2 linked regions of the Drosophila melanogaster genome follow. The protein of the gene in region 2 interacts with the protein of the main gene of each other region in a pairwise test. Each region holds a gene or a part of one and is shown on either strand. Other genes may lie near its edges.

Region 1 (4,558 bases), on a different chromosome or scaffold from region 2:
CGTGTTCAGTTCACTCTACTGTGACTTATTGGCATTGGAGCACTTCATTGTGGGTGGCCAGAATGCAGCTGAAGGAGATGCCCCCTACCAGGTGTCGCTCCAAACTCTTTTGGGTAGTCACCTATGCGGTGGTGCCATCATATCGGACCGATGGATAATTACGGCTGGTCACTGTGTCAAAGGATACCCGACTAGCAGACTTCAAGTGGCCACTGGTACAATTCGCTATGCGGAACCAGGAGCTGTTTATTACCCAGACGCCATCTACCTGCACTGCAACTATGACAGTCCCAAGTACCAGAATGATATTGGCCTGCTCCACCTGAACGAGAGCATTACCTTTAACGCACTAACTCAGGCGGTTGAACTACCCACATCCCCTTTTCCAAGAGGAGCTTCGGAGCTGGTTTTCACCGGATGGGGATCTCAGTCAGCGGCGGGGTCGTTGCCATCGCAGTTGCAGCGTGTCCAGCAGCAACACCTCAACTCCCCGGCTTGCGAGTCCATGATGTCTGCCTACGAGGATCTGGAACTGGGACCTTGCCATATTTGTGCTTATCGTCAGGCAAATATTGGAGCCTGCCACGGAGATTCTGGAGGTCCTCTAGTTCACCAGGGCACCCTGGTGGGCATACTCAACTTCTTTGTACCCTGCGCCCAGGGTGTGCCTGATATATTCATGAATATAATGTACTACCGCGACTGGATGCGACAAACGATGAGTGGCAATGGCAAATGTGCACAGGTCAACCAGCAGACAATAGATGGATAAAAACATTTGAACTCATTAAAGAACCTCAATTCATAATGTAATTCCTTAATGCTGTAAATAATTTATTAATTTATTAAGCCATTTAAACATAAGATAATTCCCAAACTGCCAGCCTTGTATCAAATATCACCAAACATGCACCAAAACCGCATAAAACCCGCACCAAAGCCGCACACAAATCGCCACCAAGCCGCCAAGAAGCCGCTAACAAATCGCGTGCAAGTCGAACTGAAAACGAAGGGCAGGATGTATCCTCTACGGGTCACTCGTAAGGGATCATTCTGTACGGGGCATCCTCTATTTTTTTAATTACTTGGGTTGCTGTAGTTCACTTGTTTTTTGGCGGGAGTGGTGAATTATTTTAATGTTTCTGGAGGCAAGTGATATTCTTGGCCCACAGCCAGGAGTCCGTTCAGTCGGACAGCCGGAATGTCTTAGTGATTCAGCCACCCGCCGTTTTCTGATTTATTTCGGAAGAAGAGAAGTGTCGCACTGGTCACACGTGTCGTCCTGATCTAATTGGTAGCAGGTAGACCCAGACAGACGTGGTCTTAGTCATGATTTGAGTTGTGAGAAAAATTTCGACACAAATCGCTCACGGCGCATGGAAATTCTGAAAATATTTCTATCGGCACTCGCTGTTCAGATGGGGGAAAAACAACCGGGAAAACTCTCAGTTGTGGGCTGTATCTTGGCATTTTGAAAAAGATTTTCAGTTGCTGTATTGACTTGGACGTGTGCGGTGCGGGCCTCGAATTTTCTTGGAATACGCGGCGTATACGCAATCCGTGAGCTATATGTAGACGCGTGTCTTGCTCATATTTTTATATATACAGCAATATATAACAAGTGAAATTTCGCAACTTGTGCAAAGTCGAGGAAAAAATTATGTTAAATCCAGTGAAAATGCCAAAGTATGTGAAATAATTTTCCCAATTAAGGCAAAACGACTTTGCAATGTATTTTACATTCTTACCAAGAGCGATGAATATTGCGCTAAAAGTATACGGCCAAAAAAAAACCGTTCGAATAAATATATTACCAAAAATAAAATAGAATATTTTGTGTTATGTGAATTTCAGTTTGAAATATTGCGTACAAGGCGTTGCCATTTCGTGATATATTCAGACGATGAAAGGCCTCTTTGCTGGATCCCAAAGAAAGAGCCATTAAATGTTCAGTTGTGAGAGCGTAAAGTGCATTTATCTGTCGGGCACCAGATGTTAATAGAGCCTCTGATCTTTATTTAGCCTCAATCGCATGCTCTGCCGCACCTGGGGTATCTGCGGGGTATAGTACCTAAGGGGACCCGGCATATGTATTTCCCAAATGATTTATTTAACTAGGCGTACACGTTTAAGTGATTTTTTAATAGAAGACATAAACCTTTTGTGCACCCTTTAGCAGATTTGTGCAGGGTCCTTGGGTTTTTCCATCACATGGAGACCTGGAAGTTGACGAAGCAACAGGTGCAGATGTTGTAGTATCCTCCCAGTAGGGATACGATGTGGTAGAATCTCCGTACGGAACCCAAGATGATGAGTATGGGTCCCAATAATATCCGGATGACGTAGTTGAGTCAGAGCAATAGCAGCCTGCCAAGACGCAAAACAACGCAAAGATCGTTAAGAACCTCATTTTAGCCGGCATTAATACAAACTAATAAACGATAGATACAATTTTATCAATTATATACTTCTTATCTTATTTATTTTCAATTGTTTAAAGAAATAATACCTTAAAACAGTTGGGCAAATGCCAAATATTCAATAAAAAGCCTAATATTTAACTAATATTTATTTTTCATATTCTATTGCCAAATTAATCACCAGCTGTTGTATCTAAAAATTTTGAAATTTTCAGAAGACTTTGTATGATTCATTTGAAAGCCCACTGTGCCATTGTTTATTATATTCCAATTATTTTCTAAATATCCAAGTAACAGTGCCGAATCGGGAAAAGCTAAATAAAGCGTTGGCACGTGAAATTACTTGACGGCAACGGGGCGTATGCGCAACAAGAGATTTTAACAGCCCAAGCAGCTGTTGAATTAATTCAAACGCCATGAATAATGATGGTCAATAAAAATAAAATTTGTTTAAAAGTACACGCGCTGCGCGTTCACACGGAAATTAAATAGGTTTTGAGAAATGTTAGTACAGAGTTGTTATGAATGGTGTTTCATATCTAAGCATAATTAGATCTTAAAATTCTTACTGGTTTTTTGAAGTTCATAAAAATGGTGACTATAGTTTAGTTTTCTTAATTTTATTTTACGGATTGATTTTGGTAGATCACTTAAGACTTCCTAAAACCCCTTTTAAGCGCCATGATAGCACTGAAATCAGATAATCAGAATAAAATTGTTTGATATATTTAGCGTGCTCTTGCTGCGTTTTATCTTCAAACGAGCATAAACATTCAAGCCAAATAAAATCGAGGAATTTATGACAGCTGATTTGGCCGGAGCTAGTTAGTCATCTCACAAGAATAAACAACATACAACTGTACATATGCTTTTCATTTAAGAGTTCTACGGGTTCTACGATCCCCCGATTTGGGATTCTTTATCAGCGCCTCGTGAGTCAAATGACGGGGAAATGCGGAATGTACTTGGGGCGACCGCCAGAGATGGCCAAAAGCCAATCATTTTTGCAGGAGGCACTTTCAATTGTGACCAGCAGCAGAGAAGATTGAAGCAAAAACATAAAACACAAAAGACGGCAACCAGTTCTATGAAAAGAATAACAACAAAATCAGCTGCGCGTCGAAAATCACATTTGTGATGAGTTGCAGGGGGTGGGGGGGGATTGCGGGGCAAGCGGTGGGTGGGGACTGGGGGGTCTCATGTGGTAGCGTCGCCAAAAACCTGCCAAACAGAGTCAAGAGTGCAGTCGACGTCGACTGCGACTGCGACTGCGACGCCGAGTCAACGTCACACGCAATACCAAAAACACAACACAAAACATGAAGCGAGATAAATATTGAACAAATTATGTATTGAAGACCTTTGACAGACGAGGATGCACTTTTAGAAACTTGTGAGAAATGTATTCATTTATTTAATATGATCTGAAAAAAATAAAAATACAAACCACAATTTTATATTTTATACTATAACTATGATATACATAATAATATTGTATTCTAATTTCATTTCCAACTTGAAATAATAATAGAAAAAATCGAAGGCAAACCTTTGTTATCTGTCAACCAGTAGGAGTGTGTAGAAAGTATCTTTTGGAATTATAACCTATAAGCGTTACCTAATATTTGCTTAGGGAGTTACTTAAGATGATCCCCGTCTGTATGATTTATCTGAGAAAATAATAATAAAGAAATTGAGCAATAAGCGGCGAGCATTTGGCTGCATAAAAACTTTGAGCAAGGAGGCGCACACAACTCAGTCGAGTTGAGAAATTGTCGCGGCCAGTACGAGTACGTGTAGCAAAGAACCCGAAAGCAACGCGCGCATTTCGTGCACACATTTTCAAAACCAAAAGAAAGAAATTCTGAAATTTGTTTACGAAAAAAAACGAAGGATTTGCCAGTCGTGTTTGTGTTGTGTTTTTTTAGAGAGAAACGTGCTCGCCACGCCAGGAATTGTGTAATTAGCGGGCCATCAAGTGTTCAGTATTAAGCACCCCCACTAAAGTATTACAACTCGAGATCATTCGACAGCGATCCCTATCAACCAACAGAAAAACCATCGATATGGCGTCCAGAAAAGTGAGTTTTTTTTTTTGTTGTTTTGTGGGCCTAGGGTGGCCCTTATCCGATCGGCAA
Region 2 (4,942 bases):
GGTTCAACTTCAAAAAACTGCAAAGGTTTAATCCATTGCCCCTTAATTAAATATATGCACAACAAGCCAAGAATGTTTGTTCCTGTACGAAGACTCAGATCGAAACCTACGACAACTAGCCAAATCAGAAGTCACATTCCCCCTCGGAATCCACATCCTCCTGATAATATTCAATGTGTCAAGTGCAGGCGAGCAACGCTTCTCTCCCTTTCTTGAATGATGCTCAAACATTTTTGCATACAACAGGAAATTGATTTTTCATCGACAGCAAAGAAAATCGGGAAAGCAAGACTCCATATCCTATGCAAATACTTTCAGACTACAAAAAAATTTGCGTCACGCGGCGTTGCCACATTGCGAGACTCGGAAAAGAAATGACAATTTCTCCGGCATCTCTTCTTCTTCCCCGCCGTATCCTTCTCGTGCTGGGAAAGCTGTCAAAAAAGCTTCAGCAACAACTTCCGCTACATGGCAGAGAATTGCCTGCACGACGGGCTAGGGGGCGGTCGGTGGAGGCGGCAGGATGAGACCTGCGTTCAAAAGTTAAGCCATTAGCGAAATGTCCTTTACTTTGCTTATAACGCAATTTTCTGCTTCTTTTCTCGGCCATGGCCCCCTCATCACCTACCCACCCCACGCTGGCCACCATTGTTTGTTTCGGACACTTTTTGGCCAGGTCCGCTCGGTTCTGGCTTGGGTGCTGAATGACAACTTCACTTGTCAGCGATTTGAAACTTTTTCGCCTCCCCTCGCCGCCACTGACTAACTTTTCTAGCGCTAATGAAGTCTGAGGATATTTTTTGGCTGCGTGAAAATGCTCCACAGAATCTGACAGCATAATTAGTAAATGAAAAACTGTTTTGTGTAATTCCCAGGCCACAGGAGGTTCAGATACCTTGAAATACAAATTCCATTGTTTTTAAAAATGTAGTTTTTAATATTTTTGTGTAACCTGCAATTTATTCAATGCAAGCTGAAAGTTAAAAGTTTTCGGAGGTTTTGGAAAACCTAGATATTTTAGGGCAATATATAAAGAGAATATATAATATATATATAATAATAAATAATATATATTATATAATATATAATATATATAATAAAGAATAAACTAAGCTATCTTTTAAAGTTTGTACCTAATAACTTAAATACCTCCACATTTACATTGATATTTTATGGTATATGGTATATGGTATACGTATACGCACTTTTATGTAAACCGGTTAACAGTTTTGTAATAAAATTAACAGTGTCGGTGTTAGCCGCCGGTGAAGCTGTTATTACAGCGCTGTTGGCCGCCTCAGATAATCTTAACGAAACTGGCGTGCAGCACGATAGATTCGAATCCGCTGTACATCCATTTCCCCTTAGCCAAACGAAACGCACTTTTTAACCTTCAAACCAGAGATTCGATGAGTGCTCTCATTTGAGTGCTGCATACTCTTCTGGTTATAAAAAGGCTAAACATACCATTGAGAACAAATATTGATGGTAACTTAACAGAAGCACAAGAGTATTAAAAGTATATTATTATATTTCCTTGCATATCTTTTTCTATAACGCTGTCATAGACTGGAAATCTATATGATTCGGAGTGATTCTTTTGCAATTAAATTAACCTAAACTACATAAGTAGCACCTATTATTCTAGCAAAATAGCTATATTTCCAGCTAAGGCCAGACTATCAGCAAATTAGCTAAATGGACAACGCTGGTGCGCGACCGCTCTCTCTCTCACAAATCATGCGCAGTATCAGAATAAATGAGAGAGCGACGCATTTTAACTGAAAAAGAGAGAATATGAAGCATATTGTTTTTCTCTCATATTTGCAGCGACTTGCGCTCTCTAGCTCTCTCTCTCTCTCCCACAGACTCGGTTCGTCGTTCGTTTTGAGCTCATTCGTCTTTTGAAATTCGCCTCGCACGGTCGGAATTGTCGTCGCGGAAAATGTGGATATACGAAAAGTAGCGAAAACAGCGCGTTGCTTCAGTCGAAAAATATAGAAAATCGTCGGGAATCAGGCAGCGAATGATACCTGCGTCTAACGAATTCTGACATAGTTTTACGATCGTCGCGCAAACAAACACACCGCGTCAATTCAAAAACACCGTTTTTCCCGTCGCGTTCCTGTGCTCCCCATCGTGTGTGTCCCGTGTTTTCAGTGTACGACTACTGAAAAGGCCCAAGAAATATTATTGCGGCCTCGGCGGCAGATTGTGATTGAGCTGGGACCAGCAGCCCGCCCGCAGATTAACCGTCTGGAAATGGCCCAGTAGAAATGTTTTTGAGTGCAGTGCGTCCAGTGCCATCCGCAGCCGCATCCGCATCAGCAAGTGCATGAATAATCGCGAGTAGCCAAACGCATACCAAGTCTCTTCTTCCTGCTCCCGTGCGGAGTCCTCCTCCTCTTCTTCTTCTCCTGTCCGGCTGTCTGGCCAAAAGCCCCCAAGCCGCCAAGATTAAGTTCTCAAAGCAGCACGCCCATCACGCGTACCGCCACACGGACAACATCTACGACGGCGGCACGGACACGGACGACGACGAATGTCCGCTGGAGGCGACCGCCATGAATCCCTACGAGTATGAGTCGACTCTAGACTGCCGCGACGTGGGCGGCGGCCCCACTCCGGCTCACGCCCACCCACACGCCCAAGGACGTACGCTCCCCATGAGCGGCCACGGGCGGCCGACGACGGACCTCGGTCCGGTCCACGGCAGCCAGACGCTCCAGCACCAAAACCAACAGAACCTGCAGGCCGCCCAAGCCGCCGCCCAGTCGTCCCACTACGACTACGAGTACCAGCACTTGGCCCACCGTCCGCCGGACACGGCCAACAACACAGCGCAGCGGACACACGGAAGACAAGGTGAGTGAGTATGCCGACCCCAGTGGGCAGTGTGGTCAGTGGAATCAAACCGAAAGCTACAACTCCGGAATTTAGTGGCCCAAATAGAGCGTCTGGAAGTGATTTAAAAAAGTTTAGGATGTGCGGAAATACTTTACAATGCATAAATTGGATTAAATGAATTTGTAACTTAAATTATGTTTGGAAATCAGTGAAAAATATAAAAGCGTTTCTGATAAGAGTACCATGCTGCTTAAACATACTGAGATCCGTTTTCCATCGCTTTCGTATACATCACCGAATTCTTTGACAGACGTGCCTAAATCAAATGAGCTAATTGATATCAATATTTTAAGAAAATGGAGAACATTTGGTTATTAGCTACGTACGTTGAGAGAGGATAGACTGGTTCTAAAACCATTCATTGCTACTTGGCATTTGTGTATTTTTAGTATTAGTCAAAAAGTTAAAAGCAAATTATGTATGTGCAAAAGGATTCCAATGTTTCTCAAACGCAATTCAAGTGAGCTACCGTGTCATCTGCTAGTTACAGAAATTATTCCTTTTTTCGGTGACAAAATCGTGCGGGTTGCGAATTCCAGCAAGTTGCGACAAGTTTGAACAAATTACGCCCCTTATCGGCGAATGCGGCCAAACATTTTGCCTAAATTAAACAAATTAAGGCGGCAGTCCCAATGGGAGTGGGATTTGGACTTCGCCTGACATTGAGCCCGCTCTTGTTTCGCATTTCATAATTTCCCTTTTTCCGACTGAGCGCGTTTTTTCACGATTTGTCTGATTAATAAAGCGAGAGCCACAATAGCCAGCGCACAAAGCGCAGTTGAAAAGGATACTCTCTGTCAGCCGACAGGAATTAGGGGGAATCCCAGACGATGTCCCCGCTCTGTGAAAAAATGCCTGCGGCTGGAAAATGCTCGAGACTTCTGAGAGGAGTTGGGTTACAGTAGCCTGCCTGATTGTACACTGACAGAAATCAGGGCACTAAGTTATGTTGATATAGATTTTGAATGAAAATCGTAGTTACTTGGATACCCTCTTAATATGAGAACAGAATTTTAGATTCTTTACTTTTAACTATTGTTTTGATGACAATAGTTCACGTATTTAACTCTAGATTATGTTAGTTCGCTGCTATTATCGATTTCAGCCAGCCTCCTCGTAGCGTCTTCATGGCCACTCCCAGACCTATCCAATATTTTCGATCCCTGGACCTCGACCACGAGCAACCTAAACACAAATACATGCTCCGACATGCTTCAGTTTTATTATTTCCGACTCTGCTTCTTGGCATTTGAACTTACACATAATGCGGACTTACATAACTTTATTTCTGGCATTTCCCTTTTGAGCTCCGGTGCCCATTTTCCGCTCCTCATCTTCTTCATCCTCATCGAAGCCATCCCACCGCAGCCGCGCTTGCTCTTCTCCTGCCTTTCAGCGTTTTTGTGGTGTTATAAAAACAATTGCCAAACAATTGGAGCTTTGAAACGAAATAAAAATCAAATGGAAATCGAACCTGGAGCACACGAACGTGTGGGTGTTTGGGTTGGGCTACCTGGCAGCGGCGAAAGAATTGTAAATTTACAGCAACAAATAAATTTCGTAACTGGCAAACAATAAATTCCTGAGACCCGAAGACTTTTGCAGAATTTCTTTTCAGCTTTGGCGCAAGAAATGAAATTGAATAAAGTGGGCCAGGGGGGTGCGATTGGGGCGGGGCGGAGCTCGTAAATTTTCAACACTTCACCAGGCAGCAGCTTTTCCCGCCTTCCTGCTCCCCAGTGCCTGTCATAAAATTGCCAAAAAGCCAAAACAGGAAAGACGGAGAAGCAGCGGAAAATTCTTTGCCTCCCCCACTTTGAAGCTGTGTTGATGTGTGAAAATCCGCTCGAAGCTGAAGCACCGAAATTTCAATGTCTCAATGCTTTATTTGTCGGCCTGCCAATTAGCCAAATTAGGTCGAAAAAATCGGCCACTTTGCATTATTAAAAGCCAACCGCAGCCAGGTTCGAGTCCAACTCCAGATGGCCTCCAAATCCAATCACAAGCCCCGCCGTCATAATGCACAAGTTGATGG

Evidence for each region.
Region 1: the proteins of Ten-m (region 2) and cher interact in binary tests that used the Drosophila melanogaster proteins (3 or more experiments, as listed by UniProt).

What each region holds. Positions count from the first base shown.
Region 1 is NT_033777.3:17,122,341-17,126,898, reverse strand, and holds the start of cher (cheerio), read left to right. Parts: upstream 1-1,509; 5' UTR 1,510-1,660; coding exon 1,661-1,686; intron 1,687-2,112; exon of another isoform or gene 2,113-2,140; coding exon of another isoform or gene 2,141-2,410; exon of another isoform or gene 2,411-2,422; intron 2,423-4,216; exon of another isoform or gene 4,217-4,486; coding exon of another isoform or gene 4,487-4,501; intron 4,502-4,558. Other genes in the region: CG17477 (uncharacterized protein), read left to right, coding at 1-772; CG45079 (uncharacterized protein), read right to left, coding at 2,141-2,410. UniProt on the Drosophila melanogaster protein: Involved in the germline ring canal formation. May tether actin microfilament within the ovarian ring canal to the cell membrane. Contributes to actin microfilaments organization.
Region 2 is NT_037436.4:22,404,815-22,409,756, reverse strand, and holds the start of Ten-m (tenascin major), read left to right. Parts: upstream 1-1,893; 5' UTR 1,894-2,564; coding exon 2,565-2,865; intron 2,866-4,942. UniProt on the Drosophila melanogaster protein: Involved in neural development, regulating the establishment of proper connectivity within the nervous system. Acts as a homophilic and heterophilic synaptic cell adhesion molecule that drives synapse assembly.